3 linked regions of the Alligator mississippiensis genome follow. The protein of the gene in region 1 interacts with the protein of each later gene in a biochemical or structural test. Links are inferred from orthologs where the notes say so. Each region holds a gene or a part of one and is shown in the gene's direction. Other genes may lie near its edges. The genes, in order: TRIM72, INSR and UBE2H.

Region 1 (7,183 bases):
GTTGGTCTAGTTACCCTTGCTGAACCTCATGAGACCAAAATAGCCCTTACAGGGCGCCTGTACACACCACGGGTTTTAATCCTTATTAAATTTAGTAGGCTTATAAAATGTAAACGTGTTTATCTGGGAGTATCGGACCTGTGTTTACACGCGGTAGGTTTTTGCACGAATGAAGCTGGGTCCCTACCGCTGCCACAGGAGAGCAGGTTGGTCCAGCACTGCCCGCTCTAGAGCCCGGGCCCCCCACCCACTCCCTGCCTGGGCCCTGCCAGCAGGGAGCAAACCACACCAGGAAAAAAAAAGCAGAAGCAATTGGAAAGTGAAAGAAGTCAAAGCCCTGAGCTACAAGAAGGGTGCAGCACCATCTCGTGGACAAGAGGCTCCTTATGACTTTGAGTGCCTTTGTGTTCGCACACAACAAATCCACAGACGTGACGCTTTAGTTCCTGGCAAGCCAAAATAAACTACAGCTGAGGAGTTTTAGTTAATGCACCAGGAAGGCTTTTAAAGGGTCCAGAAATCCCTCTTGTGTAAACAGACACGCAGGTGCAGGACAAGAAAGGGCAAAAAACGTGGTGTGTACAAGGGCCCCTCAACCCCCCCAAAAAGCACAGCAGGGCGCATCTACACACGCTGTTAATTTGAAGTAGGCCTCATTGAACCGGTCTCACATTGATCTAGTTGCCACACGTTGGTCTAGTTGTCCTTGTTGAACCTCATGAGATTCCTTTTGGCCCAATCCTCCAATGTGTTGAGGTTACTCCAAATCCTAGCCCTACCCTTCAGTGTATCTTCTACTCCCGCTATTTACTACCCCTGCTACTCCTAAACCCCTCTCTTTTGGGCAGCTCAACCCAGCAGGCCCCTCATGCCCTCGCCCTAAGCTTCCCCCTATCTTTAAGAGCAACGCTTTGGCTACATCCAAGTCTATGGGTCTAGATCAGCAGCTTTCAACCTTTTCTTCCATTGGCGGGCCTCCGACCAGATTCCAGCTGGAGGTGTGGACGGCGACTACAAGCAGATCATTACTGATGATGTGTCACGACTTCTTCCGCGGACCCCTTAGACATAGTTTGCTGACCCAGGATTCATGCACTGCAGGTGGGAAACCAGGCTAGATCATTGAGATGTGACGGCTGGAAGGGATCTCAAGCAATCATCTAGTCAACCGAGGATTGAACCTGCTTATTAGGGCCCGGCTGCTCAAAGCAAGTCCATTGGAGGCTGTCCTTGGCCATAGGGATGTTCCCCAATCGTCTGTGACATTCATCGTAGGCCTTAAAGGCTCCCGTGAAAGGATTCTTGTATGGTGACATCTTCCTCTTCAAGCTACACACAAAGGAAAGACGTCTATATGGACAGTGTTATTGGCCGAAAGCTATTGTTGAGCTGTTGTTTGCCGTTCATGCCTGGTCAAGGCAAAAAAAGTCCAGCACAGCAAACTGGATGTGCCGATATGATCCCCAAGGAAGAAGAGCCATTGGGGTTATCCGAACCTGGAGAAGAGGGATGGCATGTCATTGAGGTTGTGGCCTCTGGCACTAAGCCTGGAATAGGTGCACCTTGATGGGGAGGCATAATTATGGCCGAGGGTGGGAGGAAATGGGGGGGAGCAATAAACATGGCTGCTACCGCACCTGGTACCCCAAACCCTTGCATTCGGGAACCAGTGGGTCAAGAAAGTGAAAGCTGCAGAGGCAGGAGTCTCTACTCATCCTGGGTTGCTCAGCAGAGAGGGCACACTCTTACACTAAGGGCCCTGGTACATGGTGCATATATTACCAATTGAGGGGTGAATCACGCAATAACTTGAGGTCAGCCACATGTGCAAAGCAATTGTCGTGCAATGAATGAGTGATTTGCACGATAAATTTAAGCTGGCCATGTGCACAAAGTAATTATCACACATTGAACAGCTGATTCACGCAATACATTGAGGCCAGCTGCACGTACAAAGTAATCACTGCATAGTGAATGGGCGAATCACGCAATAAATTGAAACTTGCCCCACATGCAAAATAGTTATCATACAGAGAATAGGGGAATTGCCCAATAAACTGAGCTTGGCCACACATGCAAATTATCACACTGTGAGCGGGCAAATTGCACAATAAATTGACACCAGCCATTTGTGCAAAGTAATTATCACACACTGAACGAATGAATCACACAATAAATTGAGACCGGCCGGGCATGTAAAGCAATGATTGCACAGTGAATGGCTGAATCTCACAATTGATTGAGACCAGACACACGTGCAGAGTAATTATTGCATAGTGAACAGGCAAACTGCAATAAATTGAGACTGGCCTGGCATGCAGAGTAATTCTCATCACACAGTGAACAGGTGAATCATGTAATAAATTGAGACTGGCCACATGTGCCAAATAATCATTGCATAGTGAACGGGCAAATTGCACAATAAATTGAGACTGGACAAACATGCAAATAATGAGCACACAGCGACTGAATGATTGAAGGGCGCAATCAGTTGAGACCGGCCACACATGCAAAGTAATTATTGCGTAGTGAACAAGTGAACCGTGCAATAAATCAACACAGGCTATGCCTGCAGAGCAATTAGCACACAGCAAATGGGTGAATCACACAAGAAGTTGAGGCTTGCCACAAGTGCAAAGCGATTATCACGCAGCAAACGGCCAAATGGCACAATAAATTGCACTTGGCTGTGCCTACAAAGTGATTATCACACGGTAAAAATGACTATCCAGCTTTGAAAAAAATGAGCCAGCCAGCTCTAAAATCAGCGCTTGAGGAGGTGCAGCAATGCTATAGCTGGTTTCTATGCTGCTTAAACTGGAGTATGTCACAGGGCCCTTAAGTAATGCACTAATTACCTTCCTAACTCTTAGATTCACAGATTGTACCGGCTGGAAGGCAGCCTATGAGCTGCTCCTTGGGTTCACCGCGCTGAGCGTCGCTTTGCCTTGTTGCTCCTGGCAAAGCCATTGGGTGCCGATCTCCATGCCCACGGGGGCTTTGCGGGGTGCTGCCAGCATGCCCCACCAAAATCCCTAGTCCCAGTCCAGCAACCTGCAGAAGACCTCGAAGAAGGGGGGGCCGGGCCTCCTTCTGCAGGACCTGGGGGTGGACGTAGAAGTGTAGAGCGCGTCTACGCGTGCATTTGTGCGCATTACATCTAGCCCCAGTCAAATCACAGACTAGATCAGGAGGGCCCAGAGAAGCCCGGGTGTCCGGCCAGGCGGCAGAGAGGCAGCGGGGGCCAGGGAAAGGCACCTGGCAAAAAACACCGGCTGGAAACGCAAGTGCGTGTTATAGGGGGAATATGGTAAGAAGAGTTTGGCGGGGTAGGGGGCCTGGAAATGTGAGGGCGGGTTATACGCGGGGAATAGGGTAAGAGGGGCTTTCCCGCATAGGGACCCGGGTGTCCAGGCCACACGCACACGTGCAGAGGAAGACCCCAGGCGTCCAAGACCCCCCCGCCACACACCCCTACTCCTCACCACTCCTCCCTCCATATGCATGAACCATGAACCCCTCATTAATATTCATGAGCACAGGACTTCAGGTGTCCCCCCTCCCACTCCAGGACCCGCCCCCCACCCCCTCCCAAAGAGCCCAGGGGTCCGGCAGGTGGTGATCTGCCCCTCCAAGCTCCCTAAGCAAAGAGCCAGGCGTCCAGGACCACAACCCTACCCCTAATTATACCCCTTATCCATAACCCTACCCCTAACCCCTGACCCTATGGGCTCTTCTACAACCTCCCCAAAGGACCCCGGCGGCCGGGCTCCCAGCATGCCCTGCTCCCCGCCCCGTCCCCCCAGAACCCAGGTGTCGGGGCTCCTGGCAGCTGCCAGCCCTGCCTGCTACTTCCTGGCTGGGGAAACCTGACCCCGTCAGCCTGGGAGAGCAGCTGGGGGGAAGGGACGCCTGTGGGGACCCAGGCGTCTGGGACAGCCCGCAGCCCCCACTCCCTGCCCAGACTACCCAGGCGTCCGGGCTCCTAAACCCCCTGCTCCCACCCTCAACCACCCCAGAGAGCCCAGGCATCCAGGTCACAGCCCTCATGGGAGGGGGGGGCAGTTTTGAAGGGGAGGCGAGGGGGCTTGGGAACCCAGGGGTCACAGCCCTAAAGGGGTCGGGGAGGAGACCCCAGGTGTCCGGGCCTGCCCCCACCGGCGGGTGGGGGGACTCCCCCAGGACAAGGGACCCAGGCGTCCGGGAGAGCCCCGCTGCCAGGTGCCCTCCTCCCGCCCCGCTGCCTCTCCGCAACCTGGCCAGATGCCTGGGTTCCCTGGGACCGGTGCCAGGGCTATATAGGGGCTGGAGCAGCCGCCACCTCTCAGTCTCCAGCTCCAGCACCCTCCAGCCGCCCCCAAAGACTGCCGGTGAGTACCCACGGCTCCCTGGGCCATATAGACCCTGTAGGGACCAGTGGGGGAGCATGGGGTGACCCTGGGACTATATACAGCCTATAAAGACTGGTACAAGGGGGTATGGGGTGCCCCTGGGCCAAATAGAGTTTATAGGGACTGGTATGGGGGGTATGGGGTGTTCCTGTGGCCATATACAGCCTATTGGAACCAGTATGGGGGGGTCTGGGGTATCCCCGGAGCCATATACAGCCTATAGAGATGGGTCTGGAGTGTCCCCGAGGCCATTTACAGCCTATAGGGATCCATGAGGGAGTGTGGGGTACCTCTTTGTCTATAAGGACAAGTGTAGTGGGGCATGGAGGAGATAAGGGATGCCCTACAGTCTATAGGGACCAGTGTGAGAGTATGGGGTAGCTCAAGGGGACCGCAGAGCGATATAGCCTGTAAGGACCAGTGGAGTGGGGCATGGGGGTATACCTGTAGGGACTGGTGTCTGGAGGACATAAAGGGGACCCTACAGTCTATAGGGACCAGAGCGGGGGGGATGGGGTACATCAAGAGGACCTCTATAGGGACCACTGGGGGAGGGCTTGGGGTGCAGTGTCCTTATTCCTATAGGGACTGGTGCAGGGGGGAATGGGGAGATGAAGGGGATTTGGGGGCTATATGCAGCCTATAGGGACCAGTGGGGGGGGGTATGGGGTAGCTCAAGGGGACTCCAGGGACATATACAGCCTATAGGGACGGACTGGGGGAACAGAGGGTAGCCCTATAGAGACCAGCATGGGGGGCATGGGGCAGGCCCATTGCAGCTGGCCAGGGGCCAGGCCCTGCAGTGCTGGGGGCGGGGCCAGGAGCTATTGGCATGGCACCGGCGCTCATGAATAATCACAAGTCACTGCCCAGCTGCCCCTCCCCCGTGTGTCCATCCCTCCGTCCAGTCCATCCCTCTGGCCGCATCATGAGTCACTGCCCATCCCTCCACCCCTCTGTCCATCCCTCCATCCGTCTATCTGTCCATCCATAATGACGAGTCATTGTCTATCTACCCATCCATCCAAGCAACCAACCCAACCTCCATCCCTCCCTCTGTCCCCCAACCATCCATCCATCCATCCCTCCACAGATGAGGACGAGTCATTGTCCACCCATCCCTCCCTCCATCCCTAATAATGAAGTATTGTCCATCCATCCGTCCATCCCAACCCAACCTCCATCCATCCAACCTTCCCTCCATGGATGTCTCCATCCATCCGTCCATTTGTAGTCATCCATCTAGCCATCTGCCCATCCATCTATCCATGGTCTTCTCCATCCGTCCCTCCACCCCATATAGCTGATTGATTCATCGTTCAATCCATCTACCTATTTATCCACATCTACTCTATCCCTCTCTCCCTCCCTCCATCTATCCAGCCATCATTCCAGGCACCCATCCATCCATCCATCCATCCACCCATCCGTCCCTCCATCCCACCAACTCCTCCTCCATCTCTCTGTCCACACACCCTCTCCACCCATGCCGACTCCCCCATCTATCCATCCCCAGGAACGTGTCGCTATTAATCACGAGCTATTAACCATGACCTCATCAATCGTGCTAACGGCCCCATTGGATGAGGGGAGGCTGGGAGTGGGGATGGTCCGTCCATCTGTTCCTCATGACCTTCTGTGGTCTGAGGGGTTCCTTGGTCCTGTCTGCTCTTGGGGGGGAGGGGGGGGTCTTGGGGTCCTCCCCCCACTAACAAACCCTAATGAATGCCCTCATTAGAGAGAGGGAAACTGAGGCGCAGGAGATGCCACCCCTGAGCAGTGGGGTTACAACCCCTGCCCTTCTCCTGGGTCCCAGCCTGGTACCTTGCCCCAAACGCCTGGGTTCCCTGGGATGGCGGGGTGGGAGCAGGGGTTTGGGAGCCTGGCCGTCTGGGTTACCTGGTGGGGTGGGAGCAGGGGGTTTGGGAGCCCGGATGCCTGGTTCTCTGGACTGGGGGGTGGGAGCAGGGAGTTTAGGAGCCCAGATGCCTGAGTTCCCTGGGGGGGTGGGGCATGTGGAAGCCTGTGGCTCCTGTTTCGTGCCTATTTATAGCCAGGTCAGCCAGGCCTGGGGACATGCCGGGCAGCGTTGGCATTCCCGGCCATATGTCATATGTCACGGCTGCACATGTGACATGGACTGTGGGGGGGGGAGGGAGCTGCCGGGAAAGGGGACCCCGATTCAGGCCCGATCTGGGTTGTCCCCATGCCCTGTTCCTGTCAGCTGCTCCACCCCAGAGCTGGCTGCATCTCGGGCCCCAGAGAACCCAGGCGTCCGGGCTCCCAGGCTCCCCTGCATGGAGTATGGTGAGAGTGGGGGCGGGGGGTGCTGGGAGCCCGGGCGCCTGGGTCCTCTGGTGATGGGGGGAGCAGAGGGGCAACAAGCCACTCAGCCCCCGCCTCTCCCGCCCCCCCAGCCATGTCGAACTCCAAGCAGCGCCTGCTCCGGGGGATGCAGGAGGACCTCACCTGCCCCCTCTGCCACCGCCTCTTCTCCTCCCCGGTCACGGCTGAGTGCGGCCACAGCTTCTGCCGGGCCTGCCTGGCTGCGGTCCCCCGCGGGGACTCCCCTGGGGACCTGGCCTGCCCCACCTGCGGGGCCCCAACCCGGCCCGACCAGCTGGGCCTCAACCAGCCCCTGGAGCACCTGGTCGAGTGTTTCCGCCAGGTGCCCCACGACCACTGCGAGGAGCACATGGACCCCCTCAGCGTCTACTGCGAGCAGGACCGCCAGGTTATCTGCGGCCTCTGTGCCTCCCTGGGCCGCCACCAGGGCCACCGCGTGCTCACGG
Region 2 (8,032 bases), on another chromosome or scaffold:
TTATTATTGATCCACCTTCCAGGTAGTCTGTGAGAGTTGGTTCATCTCTGGCAGTGATCCTTTGGGCTGCAAAAGATTCAAGGTCTTACCTTGAGTTTGCCTGGATTTGTGGATCAGCCAGTTACTTCAACTGAGATGGTGGGTTGAGTGTTGCTTTCCCTGCATCTTGACAATTAGGATTATTTTCAATCCCCTCGGTTGTCACCTGTCTGCAGCTGCAGATACCAAGAAGTGAAACCAGTGCAGCATGGTACCGCCAGCAGCCCGGCTGCCCTTGCAGTATTGAATTGGAGGGAGCAGTCGGTGCTGCAAAACAGACTGCATGCGTGCCAGGCCCTGTCCTCAAGCTGCACGTCCCCACTGTGCAGCTAGCCTTGGGGGGCCCTTGTGCATGTCAGCACGCCTCGTTCCCAAATGCAGTTTATGAGGAACCGTATTTTCCCACCCTTTTGCACCACCTCTGCCCCACAGGTTCTGGAAGCCAGGCTGGGTTCTCTCCAGATGTGCGAACTGTAGAGAGTCGGCAACAGACGGAAGGAGCCTTGGGGGGCACGGCGCAGAGCATGCTGCGGTGAGCTCGTGCTGCTTCAAGTGGCCAGCCCTGGTGCTGGACTCTAGCTGGTGCCCAGGAAAGAACAGAGCTCAGCTGGTCTCTCTCAGCTGCACTGGCTTGACCAGGGAAACTGGATTAAAAAAGACACGGATTAGTGGTTCTGACCCTGAAAACACAAACCAGTTCACCAAGTTCCCCTCCAGAATGGAACTATGCACTGAATCCAGCTGCATGCCTGGTTCTAAGCTCCCAGTGGCATGAAGAACAGGAAATCTGGTCCTGAAAGATTTCTCAGTGCTTGCCCAGGGAGCATCCTATAGAGAGAGCCTGGCCCAGAGCACCCAGTCACCATGGCAAATGTAGAGCCTTAAAGGGAGCAAGAAGCTCCCAGGGCTTGAGAGAAGGTCCCTGTCCGGCAGAGCCTTACAGGAGAAGATTTGCCTTGCCTGCTACGTAGCTTGTTTCTGTTTTATGCTGGTACAGATCAAAGCTACCAGGGGAGATGAGAGGCCTGAGCCTCTGTACCATGCTGGTGCTGTACCATGACACTGCACACGTGGTTAGCCAGGGAGGGCATGTAATGAATTCTTATCGCTGATGCCAGCAGTAAGAAATTCACAAGCCGCCTCTGTGTCAAGAGTCATTAATGAATCCGGAGACATGCAGGACGGACACTTGAATCCTATGCTCCTTCTCTTTGATCCGAGAACAAAAGCAATGCCCTTGCTGAACCCTCTTCTCACCTGTGCGCTTGGATTCTTCAAGCCAGTACGTGCATCCCTCTCTTCTGGCAGCGCGCAAACAGTCTGCTGACGAGCTTCAGAGCCCCGAGTCCCCAGTGACCTGCATGTGAAGCCTGTTTCCAAGGAGGTCTGAGGGCAGGGTCAGACCTGTGGTGCGTCCCATGCAGCAGCAGTGCAAAGTGCCCGGGGAAAAGTCCTTTGAGCAAGCAGGTCTCCAGAACGCTGCCTGGGGGCCCTCGAGCATCGCACTTAAAAACCCACTTTCTAAACCTAATGATCTAAGAATTGGTGCAACACTCGGTTGATGAACAGCAGAAAGGCCTGCTTTAATAACTACCAGCAAGCTACAAAACTAAATGACAGAAAATAACTGTTTCCCAATATCACATGACTTATTCGTCCTCGTATTATCTTGGCTGCAAAGAGATCTTTACCCAATGCAGGCAGGAAGCAGTTCTTGTACCGCCTCACAGTGCGGATCCTTCACTTGTTGGCCGGGTGGCGGGATGACTTCTTGGTCTTCCCTGGACTGCACACACCTTGCTAGTTCTTACACTGTTAATTGTATAGCCTCAAAACATTTTTCCTTGATAGTCAGCTGATTAAAGTTGGAACAAAATGGGGAGGCAAAGGGTGACCATCATATTACAATAGTTAAATTGCCTGGCTCCTGTTTTTGGACTTGTCCAGGTGTTGATGACTTGTGTTTCTCTGCAGCCCCTGCAATTACAGGTCACTTACGGGCGCTCAGACAGGATTGCTAGAGGCACTGGTCACCAGACCTGTCTTTGGGGATCTGCTTATCCATGGGGCAAATTTGCAATAGCGTGTACCGGCGACAGTCTGTTTACAAAACTCACATACATCGTTCCTGTGCCTTTTCCAGGTTTCTCTTGAGATGCGTATTTATTCTTTTGTCATCTTGAGTTGCTAGTTCAGTTGAAATGCATACGTAGGTTCCTTGCCGTCTCCAGTTGCACTGCCTCAGCCTTTTCTTTGTCTCTCTTACTTGCACACATGATGAGCGTGTCAGGTCTCTGCCAACAATTTTAACCATCACCTCTATTACTTGATGGCATGGGTCTGGTATTGGGTATCACAAGCGCTCCGCTGTCTTGACGCCTGATGGGTTGCAAGCCTGCCTTGCCCCAGCCATTGTCTTGCAATTTTGTGCAAAAGTCGCTGTCCAAGCTGTCACAGTGTTACTGTGCGGCGTCGAGCACCTGCCCGCACCAAGATCCTGCCCACGGAGCCAAGTCGCGGGATGGCTGTGAAAGGCCCAGGGCTTCCCTTGTGCTGCCGGGACAGGGCGGCACCGACCCAGCTTGGGCATGGACAAAGATTGCACAGTCGGTGTTTCTTGTTCACCACAAACTTCCCGTTGCAGTCCCGTACCGTGCGCGTCGGGGCCCTGGCACCGCCACACCTGGGCAGCACAGCGGGTGCCTCTGGAGTTGTGCAAGGAGCAGGCTGGTTACTCTGGCGACACCTGGGCACGGGTAAGGTCCCACCTTTGCTTTTCCTTCGTTCCAAGCGGGACGTGGACCTTCCTTATGGCATTGGGCAACAGCGGCCAAGTGACTAGGACCGTCCTGGAGCTGAGACAGTGTCCAGAGATGAACGTAACCAGAGTGGGACAGGCAGGCAGGAGCATTTGTTCCCTCTCACTTTGAGGCCCACATCTTTCCCTATCTGGGCGACATCTTCCCGAGGACCGTGGCAAACAGCGGTGGCTCGGCCGCTGAGAAGTGATGAAAATAACTCGGTGCGGTGGTTGCCATTAAAAACTCCAGTGTTTACTGAAAGTGGCTACCTCGCGGCATCCGGGTACGAGCGCTCTTATCTCTCCGCTCCAGGGGGAAATTAAATTATCACCTCGGGACAGCCTTGCCTTGGTAAGTTGCAAACGGAGGGACAGATCCTCCCTAGCGTCACAGACATCTTGCGTGGTCTGAGCAGTCTCCTAGCAACGTCAAGGATGCCTGTTGTGCCTGTGTAGCCCTGAACCTCGGGAGGACTCGGCACTTCTGTTTCAAGGTGATTGCTGGTGTGGAGAAATGTAGCCCGACTACCGTACACGGCAAGCCCGCGCTCTAGAAAACTGCTGCGCTGGCTGCAGGACGTACGAGCTGGCCACGGCGGTGGCTGCGGGACTTCCCTGCCCTCGGCTGTGCCGCCGTTCTCCTTTCTGTCGTCGTTTTGGTTGTAGCTTCTGCCGTCGGAGCCAGCCTCGACGGAGCCTGGTCGGAAACGGGCGGCTACGGAAGAGGGCTCGACGGACTCGGATGAAGCCTTGAGGTGAGAAGCTAACGCTGCCCGGCCCTCCTTCGCATGTTTGAGCTGCTTTATTGGTGCTGTTGGCAGCGCTCTGACGCGGGGAGAGGCGACGTGTTGCGTGTCCCGGCTCCTGGCAGGGCCCTTGCAGCTCCGCTGCGCGTCGCGGCGTGATCCCTGCGCGGCTGGAGGCCTTGCTTTCCCCTCCGTGCTGTTTTCAGGAAGAGATTTCAGTCCTGGGCTCTTTGGGCTAACTAGTCTCGTCGAGCTTCCTGGTTCGTGCTTTGTTGTGAACACAAAAGGCTCAGCCCAGATCAAAGGCTGCAACTGGAACAATCTGAAATGAAAGTGCTTTGAGGGTGGTTTTTGTGACGGTTCGGAGCGGGCAACATCAGGTGCGCTCTAGTCCTGCCATCACACGCACAGGGCTGGGCCGCGGCGCGGCAGGGCGCGTCTTGCTCTGTCCCTCGGGCCTCGCCGCCCCTTCTGCGCGCGGGCCGCGGCGGTCAGCGCTGGGCCTTGCGCTGCTGGGCCGTGCCGGGGGTGGGGTGGGGAGCCCGCCTGGGGACCGGCCTTCAGACCGGGCGCTCTCGTAGACTGAACCGCAGGCGTGCGCACCGCTGCGCTGCTATGGAGCTAGCATGTATTTTTCTTTTCGCTTGCAGCAAGAAGCAGTCATTTTAGATAGAACAAAGAGGAACAGGATTGTCCCCAAACTGCTCCGTGCTTGGTGGTAGACGGATTACTCCCTGAGGGCAGGGGGCCGGGGCGGCGAGCACCCCCGCAGCGCGGGCGCTTGCTCCGGCCTCGGGGCGCCCTGCCCTTCCCTTCCCCTTCCCGGCGGCCTGGAGCCGGAGCCGGAGCCGGAGCCCCTCCTGGCTGGAGCAAGGCCGGCGCTGGCGGGAGGGGCTTGGAGGCGGACGCCTGAAGTAACAGAACAAGGCAGCCCCCGCCGGCCTCGGCCTCGGCCTCGGCCTGTAGCCTCGGGGAGAAGCGTGGCAGCAGCGCGGCTCTGCCCGGGGCAGCACGCGGGGCCAGGCCCGGGCCGGGGCTCCCGCCAGCAAGCGGCAACGCGCTGGTGCCAGCCGGCCCACACACGGCCTCGCGGGCCCACGGGCGGGCGGGACTCGGTCTAGCAAGAGCCCGGCGCTGCACAACCCTTCGCACCCCGCCGGGGCCGGGGCCGGGGCCGGGGCGAGGCGGGAGGGGGCTGCGGGCCGCCTCGCGCCGCTGCGGGAGCCCGGGCCGGGCCCGTGGGCCGCACACGTGCCGGAGGCGGAGGCGGAGGCGGGGCCGCTTGGGAGCGGCAGGTGGAGGCGGCTGGGTCTGCCCCGCCCGGGCCTGCTGGGCTCGGCTCCGCTCCGCCCGGCTCCGCTCCGCCTCTTGGCGCGGCCCGCGGGCTGACGGGGCGCCCCGTGTGCAGTGGCGCGGCCCGCGGGGAAGGCGCCGCGCAGCCCGGCCGAGCCGAGCGGAGCGGTGCGGTGCGGTGCGGTGCGGAGCGGCGGCGATGCGGGTGTGCTGGTGGCGGCGGCGGCGGCCCGGCGCGGCGCGCGGCCTGTGAGGAGCGGCGGGGCCATGGGGCCGCGGGCGGCGGCGGCGGCGGCGCTGGCGGTGGCCGTGGTGCTGGGGGCCTGGTGTGGACACGGCCGCGGCGACAGTGAGTGCGGGCCGGGGGAGGGCGGCGGCGGCGCGTCCCTGGGCCGGGCCGGGCCGGGCCGGGCCGGGCCCACCAGCGCAGCGGCCGCCGCCGGGTGTTGAGCCCGCGGCGCGGTGGGTCAGGGCGGGCTCGGGCCGCGGGCTCCCGCACTGTCCCCGGCGCCCTGCTCCACGGGCGCGGCCCCCACCCCACCCCACCCCACCCCGGCACAGGTCCATGCACACACGGCGCTGCCGCTCGCTCGCTCGCTCGCTCTCGGGCCCGGGGGCCGGTGTCCTGCTCCGGGCCAGCCGGCCGGCCGGCCGCGCACAGGTGGGGAGACGAGGGGCGATGGTGCCCGCCCGCCCGCGGCAGCGCCGTGTGCCTCTCCCCGTCGGTCCCATGTGTTTCGGGGCACCGGGAGCTCTCCGAAGGTGAGGGCCCGCATTGAAGGCTTTGGGATGGCTGGCTACAGGTGGCTGCGGCGTGGGTTGAAAACAGCCAGCTTCTCAAATGCAAAGACCTGAGCGTGTTGGAGGGCGACAGCGCGCACGCCTGCCCACACGCGCACAGAGCTCTTGTGCAAATTGACGCACGACACTCTGGAGAGCGAGCTCTGGCGCGACGGCTGCCCCTGCCGCCTGCCTTGCCCTGACACACACGTCTCCTGCGCGACGTCCCGCGCGCGTCGCGGACGGCAGGGAGAGTCTACGCCGCAGGGACGCGCACGGGTTGCTCCTGATCCCCGCGCTGGACTCGTGTCGCTGCAGTCTTGTGTTCGCCAAGCTTCTCACGAGAGTCTTGCACGCGGCCTGGCTGTACGGGGAGTTTCAGTCCGGAGGAAAGCTTCCTTCCCTGGAGGTTAAGGCGGGCCGTCGCCATCGCTCTGATCCCAGCCTGCCTCGGCGCGCTCGTGGGACTCCTCGAAGCGTCCCCGTAGCGTGGGCCGCTGCCCTCGGCGCGCTGTGCTTGCGGGCGGACCGGGAGCGGCGGGATGAAAAGCCCGTGTGGCCAAGGACTACCTGCCGAGCCCGGAGGCAGCTGGCGGGGAAGGGCTGTCGGGCTTGCCCTGCCTCGGGCTCGGTGGGGTGGGTGGCCCTCGGCGGACCGGCTCTCGAACGCCTTGCCCAGTACACGCGGGGATGCCCGTTGCTCCGGCCTGCCCTTCGCTTTCACGGAGACGAGCGTAACAGAGGCGTTCTTATTTCTCCGACAACCCTAAAAGCGGTAGCAGCTCCCAGGGCTCAGCTGAGCCTTTCGGGCTGGGCTGCGGAGTCTGCAACCAGCACAGAAGAAGCAGTCTCTTTGTCGGAGGAGGATTGGCCTTGGCTCAGCAGAGGTTTTTTTCCCCTTGCCCAGGAATAAAGACAGCAGCTGCCTGAGAGAGGTCATCTGAGGAGGCCAGGGGCATATAAACAGACTCTCACCTTCATCATAGCCTGGTCTGAGCATGCTTCACTGCCCAGGCCTCGCTAACGGGAGGAAAACAGTGCTTAAAACTAAACCTTGGTGTTTCATTCTTAGATCGTGTTTGTTAAAACAGTATGAAACGGGCCGGACCCCGGGTCTGAGCCCCTCCGGTTGAGGTCTTCCCTGGCCAGTGCCTGCCTCACGTCCCGTCTCCGCAGGGTGGAGACCATCACTCGAGAGCCACGAGCACTTGTGAAAACCGGACTGAAACTCGCTCGTCGTTTATAGAAGCTCGGCCCCCTTCCCACGTACGATTCCTGGAAACCAGAAGTGCAGGGAAGTGCCAGGGGTTTAGGCTGATCCGAATGGCTGCTGTTATCCACACGCGCGAGCAGGTTTTAAATACTCCAGTCAGCAAAACAAATTGTCTTCATGTGCAGTGCTGGGTTATGCGGGACTCTGGATATGGGCCGGAGCCTGTTGCGGCGAGTCGTTAGGGCTTGTTGTTCGCCGTTAAGCCAAGTGTCAGTCGTAGTTCTCCCCATTAGACACTACCTTGAAACCTACAGTCTGACATCGGAGCTCGTGTGTCTCTTCAGTACCTTGAGGGTGTTACTGGCAGACTAGCGTGTGCAGGAGCCTCTGCCGTGCGTTTGGAAGCACTGCTGTGCCTTGCCCCGATCGACCGTCTCTGGGTAGCTCCGTGGCCCAGGACACAGGCGTGTTCTTCACCCGGGCTCTGCGTCCTCGCTGCGGCAGGCTGCGCGCAGGCCTCTTCCCAGCCTCCTTGAGGCCCGCGCTCTGGCCGGCCTCGCTGCTTGACAGAAATAGTGGCGTCTAGCGACGTGGGAATTTTGTCACTAGCATCAGTGAGAGCAGCGCTAGGCCTTCTAGCTGCAGCACTTGGAGCACGGATTTGAGGGTTAAATAGCTGATTCTGTGTTTGTTTCGGAAACCATATTAAACCCCCCAATAAAAACTCCGTAATAGCTGGTTTTTGAACTGTTGGTCTCTCTGTGCTGGCAGCTCACTTGACTAGTCTTCATAGTGACTTGTTACTGATTTCTGCCCCTGCCCCTCCTCACCCCAGAAAGTCTTGCTGAGGGGAGATGTGGAAAAACACTTGCTGCTTTGCTTAAAACTGAGTTGTGTTTATGGTAACTACAGAATTAGAGGGGTCATGTGAGTGGTTACAACACCAGTGGACTCCAGCTGCTCAGGAGAATTGAACCGTGCAAGAAGAGACCGAGGCCTGCAGAAGGCAAACCCAGATTTTCTGAAATAGCAGCAGTTCTGTAACTTTGCTCCATGAAGAAGCTGAATGTACTCAGCTGCGCTTGGCGCCTGTGATGCAGGTGATGGAGTGAGACCTGGAAGAAAGGAGGCATGGGCAGGTGGTCCTTGTCGGTCGGTGCA
Region 3 (7,035 bases), on another chromosome or scaffold:
TGGAGGAGAATCACCATTCATGGAGCAGGGCCTCAGACATACAGCTGAGCAATACGGATCCCATCCAGTGGCAGGTGCACATATCTCCGCTGCATTTGACCACGGGGCCATGTGCAGGGTAACAGCCACGGGATGACCTCAAGGTGCCTTGCAAACACTCATTAACTTAGTGACACAAGCCACCCCTTCCTCCACACCCCTCCCATTGACAGAGGGAGTTGGTGTTATCAGTGCTTGCCAGATGGCAAGACAAGGTCAAATGACTTGCCCAGAACCCCACAGGCAATCTGTGGCAGGTGGAAAAGCACAGAGTCCCCTTCCTCATGCCATGTGCTCGAGCTACTTAGCCCTGCTTTGGCATATGAGCTGGGATGTTAATAATTTGCAGCAGTGTCAACTGGCAGCGTTCAAGTCCTGTGCTCGGAGCGGCTCTGTCCCTGCCCTGCTACCAGCGTCTAGGTCTCAACGGTTAGCAGGCCCAAGCACACGCTTCCCAGATTGCAGCACTCACAGGGCACACGAGGGTAAGCAGCTGTTTGCTTCCGTAGCCACTCCATTCTGCCTGCTTAGGAGGGACATTGCTCACGCCAGGCTCAGGCTTGCATCTGCACGCAGTCCTAGCATTTCCTCTCTGTAAATTATTGACAGCCGGGAAGTCTGCAGCTGGCCCCTGAGCTTGTGGAAAATTGAAAAAAGCCCCGTGGCCTGAGCTCCCACGTTAGCAAAGCCTTCCTACCTGCTCTTAGAGTCGCAGAATTGTAGAATCATAGAAAAATAGGGTTGGCAAGGACCGCCAGAGATTATCTAGTCCAACCCCTTGCTCGAGGCAGGATCAGCTCTAGCCAGACCATTGCAGATAAATCCTTGCCTAACCGATTCCTAAAATGACACAGTCAACCCTGCTGCGCAACTACAAAGCATATTGCCCAAAGACACCAAGAAGGTTTGAATCTGCCACAGGTAAAGCAGGGGGACCAGGGCTGTCAGTGTCCCATGGCTGGAAGGCTGTTAAAATGCACTGGAGAAATCCAAGGGTCCTGGATCTGGGCAATACGGTGCCCCCTCGCTCTGCTTTGAGCCTCTGATGCAGAGGCCAAGCCCTGGCCCCAATGTACCTGGCAGCAGCAAGAGACACGTTGCCTTTTGCTGCCAGGTGCAGGAGGAGGAGACAGGGATTGGAGCAGGCGCTGCATCTTATCCTTAGCTGCTCCTCAAACAACCTGCTGCGGATAGAAGCACTCTTTGTCCCTTGCTGATGGCTGTCCCAGGTTGCAATAACCCTTTCTCCCTATGGCAGCTGCAAAGACCACCAGATGTAGGGTACCTGGCCACGTCTCCTCTCCCCTCCCCTCCCCTGTCCTTCCATGCGTTTCCTTCTGCCCGTCCCCACCAGCGCAGCACGGCTCAGCACAGCCCCTGCCTAAATCTCCGCTCTTGATTTGTTCTCATTGCATCTCGTCCCTTTGTGCTGCCAGCAACGCTCACTGCTGCTTCATTTCCCTCTCTCCTGCTGCTTTCTCTCTGTGCACTGAATGATCCTCCCATGTCCGTGCCCAGGCTCCCAGCTGTCTCCTATAAACCCACATCTTCCAGCAGCACTCACCAAAGTCAGCATAACGCCATCGCCACAAACAGGTACAAAAATAGCAAGCCAAGTCATCACCAGCCCCAACACATGTTCCTTTGATCTCTGCCTAGCCTCTGTCCCTCTGATTGTATGCTCTCGAGGGCAGGGACTCTGTCTATTTGTGTTAATATTTCATTGGAAGGCCTTGACATTGCAAGGACGCACATAAAACACTGTTATCCATATAAAAAGAAACAGTAATAATCTCAGAATAATCTCAGAAGCCGAACAAAGCTCTCGCCAGCAAGGCAGAAATGAATGCAAACACTCAAATATTGGTTAAAGTACCGGAGATGAAATACCGACAGCCACATGAATAAAAATGTGGCACTCGCATCTAGAGATGACCCAGGAGGGAGTTAGGATGAATATCAAAACTGCCAAACATCTCCCTGCAGACGCCGAGTTTGATTGGCAAACATGGAGAAGCTTGAACTGTCTCCGAACGGGGATCGGCAAGACTCAAGTTCACAGGCGACGGCGGGGATACTCTAACGGCGCAAACAGCACGTGCGAATGTGGAGGAAACTTTCAGACTATTGCACACCTGCTGGCTTGCCATGTTTGGGGCAACTATTCACCTGGCTAAAGATATACACTGAGAAACGGTAGGTGCCAGTTTCTGGACTTAGATTTGAGCATGGTGACGACACAAGAAGAAGAAGACTGGCGAAAAGGTGTTTCTGCCCTTTGCCCTATGATTTCCTCTTATCTCCTATTGCGGGTAGCGTATGGACACGCTGCACCGAGCTCCCCAGGCGGTGGGTGGCTATAGAAGGAGAAAGCATCATTATGGAAGGGTGTTAAAAATAATTCATTTGAAATTAAGTGGCCAGGGCTATTGGAGGGGTATCAGGAAGTCTGTCCTGCGGTGCATGCATCAATGGCTTGGCAACACCCAGCTTGCAGGGATATATTACTAGAGCGATTGTGCACACACACGTCCGGTGTGAAGGAGATGCTGGTAAAATCCGATGGTCCAGAACAAGGTGCTCAACTTCTCAGTGCCGTGGGCCAGAGGAGCGGAGCTGGGCTCATCCATGAGCCGGATCAGGCCCCGTGTGCCTGGACTGGGCCTTGCACTGATTCTCTCAGGCCTGAGCTGCTGGCTGGATCATAGAAATCCTCGAGAAGTGGGGCTCCAGCGGTCACATCTAGTCCAACCCCTGCCTGACGCAGGATCAGCCCCATCATCGACAATGAGGGTCGATAGGGACCCTCCAGCTGGCCCCTGGATCAGATCGGGGCCATCTCCGTGCCCGGATCTAGCAAGCGACCCGGTGCGTGGGCTCCCCACAGGTGCAGATATTTGCGATAGCTGCCGCCACCTCCCCTTGCTGCCAGAGGGTGGGAGCCGGGGAGTCCCGCGGGCACGGGGCGGCGAGGGGCCTGGTCCGGAAGACCCGGGGCCACCAAACCTGGGTGTCTGGGCCGGCCCGGGCTGCGGGACGACAGCGTCTGGGGCAGACGGGCCTCGCGGACGCTCCTGCGACCAGGGCAGCTGCATTGTCCCCGGGGACAGGGCCACACACACACGCACACAATCATAGACCCTCCACACATGCACACACACAGACACTCCCCCCATGGATCTTCCTCTGCTACACACATGCACACACACACACAACCATAGACCCTACACACACACACACCATGGATCTTCCTCCCATCCCCAGCCACACACACACACGCACGCACATACGCACGCACCCTATGCATGCACACACACAGTTATAAACCCTACACACACATACACACTTTCATAAGCCCTACACACACACACACTCATAAACCCTACACCCCCCTCCCCATGGATCTTCCTCCCTTCCCCCATCACACACACACACACACACACACACATACACACACACACACCATGGATCTTCCTTCCATCCCCAGCCACACACACATAAACCCTACATGCACACACACATAAACCCTACACACACAATCATAAAACCTATGCATACACGCCTATACCCTATAACCCCTGCCCATGGATCTTCCTCCCCTCCACTCCCCGTCACACACACACACACACACACACGTGGCAGAGCCGGGTCTCGAACCCAGGCCCCCAGGTGCCCGTCCCCCGCCCCCCCGCAGGTGCCCGGGGTAGGCAGGCAGGCCGGCAGGCTGGGCCCGGCGCGCACAAACACTACATCCCCCATGGCGCCCCGCGCGGGGGAGGCGGGGCCCCGCCCACCGAGCGCGGCGCGTCGCCCGGCGGCCGCCCAATGGCCGCGGGCCGGGGCGGTGAGGTCACTGTGGGTGACGTCAGGGGCCGGAGCGAGGCCGGGGCAGTCGGCGCGGGCTGAGGGAGCGGGGCCGGTGGCGGCGGCGGTGGCGGAGCGGCTCGGCTCGGCTCGGAGCGCGGCGCGGCGCGGCGAGGGAGGCCCATCCGGGCGGGTCTGGTCGGAGCCGGCGCTGCCCCTGCCTGCCTGCCTGCCTGCCTGCCCAGCGGCGCGGCGCTGCCAGGCGGCGGGGGGAGGCGGCGGGCACCATGTCCTCCCCCAGCCCGGGCAAGCGGCGCATGGACACCGACGTGGTCAAGCTGTATCCTCCTCCCGGCGCCCCGCCCCCCCCCCGCGGGTGGGACCCCCCAGGGGGGATGACACCCCCTCCCCTCCCCCCTCAGGGGCATCCTGGCCCTGCCCCCCCTCACTGGGGGTGGGGGCAAGGCGCCCCCCCCCCCCCGCAGCCTTGTGTGCTGTTGATGATGATTTGCTCCCTGCCATGCCCAAAGCTTGGGGGTTGGGGGGGTTAAATTGGGGGAGAGGGGGATGACCCCCCAAATGAGGGGTCGCTGTGTGGGGGGAGGGGTGGGGGAATACCCCAAAAGGGGCAGGGCTTTGCCTCGCCTGGCTGCTGTTTATGTAACGCTCCAGGTACACCCCCCCCCTCCCGAAACGGGCCTGATTTCTAATTCGGCCTCTTGTTGTTTTCTCTTTTGTGCCCCTCTGGGGCGGGGGACTCCCGTCCTCTCGGCGGCGCGGAGGGGGCGGACGTGGTGGAAGCTGTGCGGGGAATTCGGTTTATTAATAGTTGTATTAATAGTTGCGTTGACGCGGGGAGGAGGGGGGGGGGGGGATGCATTTGACATCCCCGACCCGACGGCTCCCCGGGGCGGCGACGAGCAACGTCTCCCTTTGGAGGAGAAACAAACTTCTCCGGGTTTCCTCCTTTTAAAGGAAGGGGGAAACGGCCCCGGGTCCCGCGGATGGCGCGGGGACGCCCGGCTGAGCGAGAACTTCTTCCATTCGGGTTTTTGTGCCCGTGGTTTTTTGTTTTTAATTGAATTTAATTTTTTCTTCTTCAAAGACAAGCTGTTTCTTTATAGGCCATTTCTTTTTTCCCCCCCCCCCCCCCGAATCTTGTTTTTAAAGAAATAGGAAATGACTGGCGATCAGGGTAGAATCGGAGCTATTTTTATCCCGGGGTTTAGAGTTACACATACACACGTCTGCGCTCTCCCAAATGCAAATCGCAATCGATGGCTGATTTTTCCCGGTTGTTTATGCAGAAGAAAATTGCCTTTCTTTTTAAAGGACTGGGCCGGAGAGGCGATGAGGCCCAGTCTGATTTGATGCAGACTCTGCTCTGACTCCCTCTTTCTTTTTGTTCGTGGTAGCTGGCATCTAGGATGATTACAGCATTTTAGGAGACAAAGAGCCAGGGGGGTTTTTTTTGTTTGTTTTATTTTTATTTTTTTGAAGGGACTTGGTATATTCACGCTGGTGGAGGGGGTTTGCGTTTTGCTGTAGGTGGAAGAGAGGCGAATATCTTCCCTTCCAGACCTGGTCGGCTTCTGATCTCCTGCTGGTTTCTCCCCTGACAAAAGAAACCAGAGGCTTTTTTTTTTCTGAACCGGGGCTCTTATTATTGTGACTGCAGCGTTCTTGAGAGCTGAGGCAAGAGGCTTAGATGGGTCTTGTGGACAGCAAAGTTAGGAAGTTATAGATGTCAGATGACTCTTCCCGACCTCTCCCCTCCCTCCCTGATTTTTTTTTTTGTTGTTGTTCGTTTGTCGGAGTCGTCTCCCTGGCCTTCCTCTCTCCAGGATGCATTGGGCTGTGCAGGCCCTGGGCCTTTTCATTTCTGTGTGTAATCCTCCTATCTGTAAACTGATCTGCAAATTGTCTGAAATAAGTGTGTGTTGGAGGGGTGGGGGTGGGGACCGGAGCTGGTTATGGTGGTGAGCAAATGAGGGAGAACTGGTCTGGAGGAATGTACTTGAATGGGCTCCTCCCGATGCCTCCGAGTTGGTTTGGTTTTGTGTTTTGGGTGGGGGGGGGTGTTGTTTGCTGCCATTTTCATCTCAATCTCCCTTTTCATGTCTCCGGATATAATCGTGGCATAGTTTTCTAGCCTGCCAAGAGCAACCTTTCCGGAGGAGGGTACAGGGTGGCCGGAAAGTAACCCAGCTGCTTTCTGCTCTGACAGGTTTCGGGGTCCTCCTTCCCCAGACCTATTTTCAGTCCCGACATGTCCGTGTCCTTTCATAGTCATGTCGTTGGCTGATCTCTCTCTCTCTCTCGCCTCGGGTTGCCTGGGGAATGCATGTGTGTGAACCGATGTTTAATAATTGCCTGGATGATTCTGTTCTGAAACTCTGAGTCATTCATTGTTTCCCTTCTGATCCCTTCTCTAAACCTTGTGCAAACGCTCGGAAGAGCCGAGAAGCAGGGATTTGCATTGCATCGTGCCCCTGTTGGGCTGATGGTCACCTCCTTTCCCCCCCCCCCTTAGGGGCTCAATAGCAAACCCGGGTAGGGTCCTGCATCCTGCCGGTCGCAAAAGGGCTTTTCAGGCAGGCGTAGTCCCCAAAGACGGGGAATTTACCCAGGTTCATTTGATCAACCTCGGGTCTGGGGTGGAGAAAATCTTAGCCTGGAGGGGTGCAGAGGAGTTTCCTGTCCCTGCCGCACGGGGAGCGGGGGGCCTCCGTGCGTCTGCCCGTTGCCATCCCGTCTTACTGTTGCCCCGGTGCAATGCCAAGCCTCCTGCTTTGGAAAAGTGTTTGCAGGCGAAAGGCCTCGGGCAGAGCTTGCAAATCATCGGATTGGCTGCTCTGTTACTACCCGGAAACCAAGGCCGGGGCGGAGCAACCTGAACAGCTGATGGAGTGTGTGACAAGAGTGTGTTTATATACAGGGGGTGGGGGCTGGGAAAGGAGAAGGAGGCCTAGTGCAAGGCTGTGGAAGCCCGCACAGGCCAATCCTCAGGGTTTCAGCATTGGGGGCTCGGGGAGATCCCTATCACAGGCAGCCCCGCACAGCTGATCTGCGGGGTCCTTGCATTGTTAATCAGAGCCCCACTGGGCCGTGCCAGCCCTTCGAGGTACTTTCAGTGGGATTACAAGAGTTCGGAGGCAGGGGTTTTTATTGTTCTGCATCAGAATAGCAGTG

The links.
Region 2: the proteins of TRIM72 (region 1) and INSR form a complex in vitro, tested with the Homo sapiens proteins (2 studies listed by BioGRID). The link is inferred for Alligator mississippiensis from reciprocal best matches to the Homo sapiens genes TRIM72 and INSR.
Region 3: the proteins of TRIM72 (region 1) and UBE2H form a complex in vitro, tested with the Homo sapiens proteins (2 studies listed by BioGRID). The link is inferred for Alligator mississippiensis from reciprocal best matches to the Homo sapiens genes TRIM72 and UBE2H.

What each region holds. Positions count from the first base shown.
Region 1 is NC_081830.1:1,061,011-1,068,193, forward strand, and holds the start of TRIM72 (tripartite motif-containing protein 72), read left to right. Parts: upstream 1-4,181; 5' UTR 4,182-4,370; intron 4,371-6,808; 5' UTR 6,809-6,810; coding exon 6,811-7,183. UniProt on the Homo sapiens protein: Muscle-specific E3 ubiquitin-protein ligase that plays a central role in cell membrane repair by nucleating the assembly of the repair machinery at injury sites.
Region 2 is NC_081839.1:650,070-658,101, forward strand, and holds the start of INSR (insulin receptor), read left to right. Parts: upstream 1-4,944; 5' UTR 4,945-5,145; coding exon 5,146-5,227; intron 5,228-8,032. UniProt on the Homo sapiens protein: Receptor tyrosine kinase which mediates the pleiotropic actions of insulin.
Region 3 is NC_081827.1:5,409,365-5,416,399, reverse strand, and holds the start of UBE2H (ubiquitin-conjugating enzyme E2 H), read left to right. Parts: upstream 1-3,963; 5' UTR 3,964-4,130; coding exon 4,131-4,183; intron 4,184-7,035. UniProt on the Homo sapiens protein: Accepts ubiquitin from the E1 complex and catalyzes its covalent attachment to other proteins. E2 ubiquitin conjugating enzyme that transfers ubiquitin to MAEA, a core component of the CTLH E3 ubiquitin-protein ligase complex.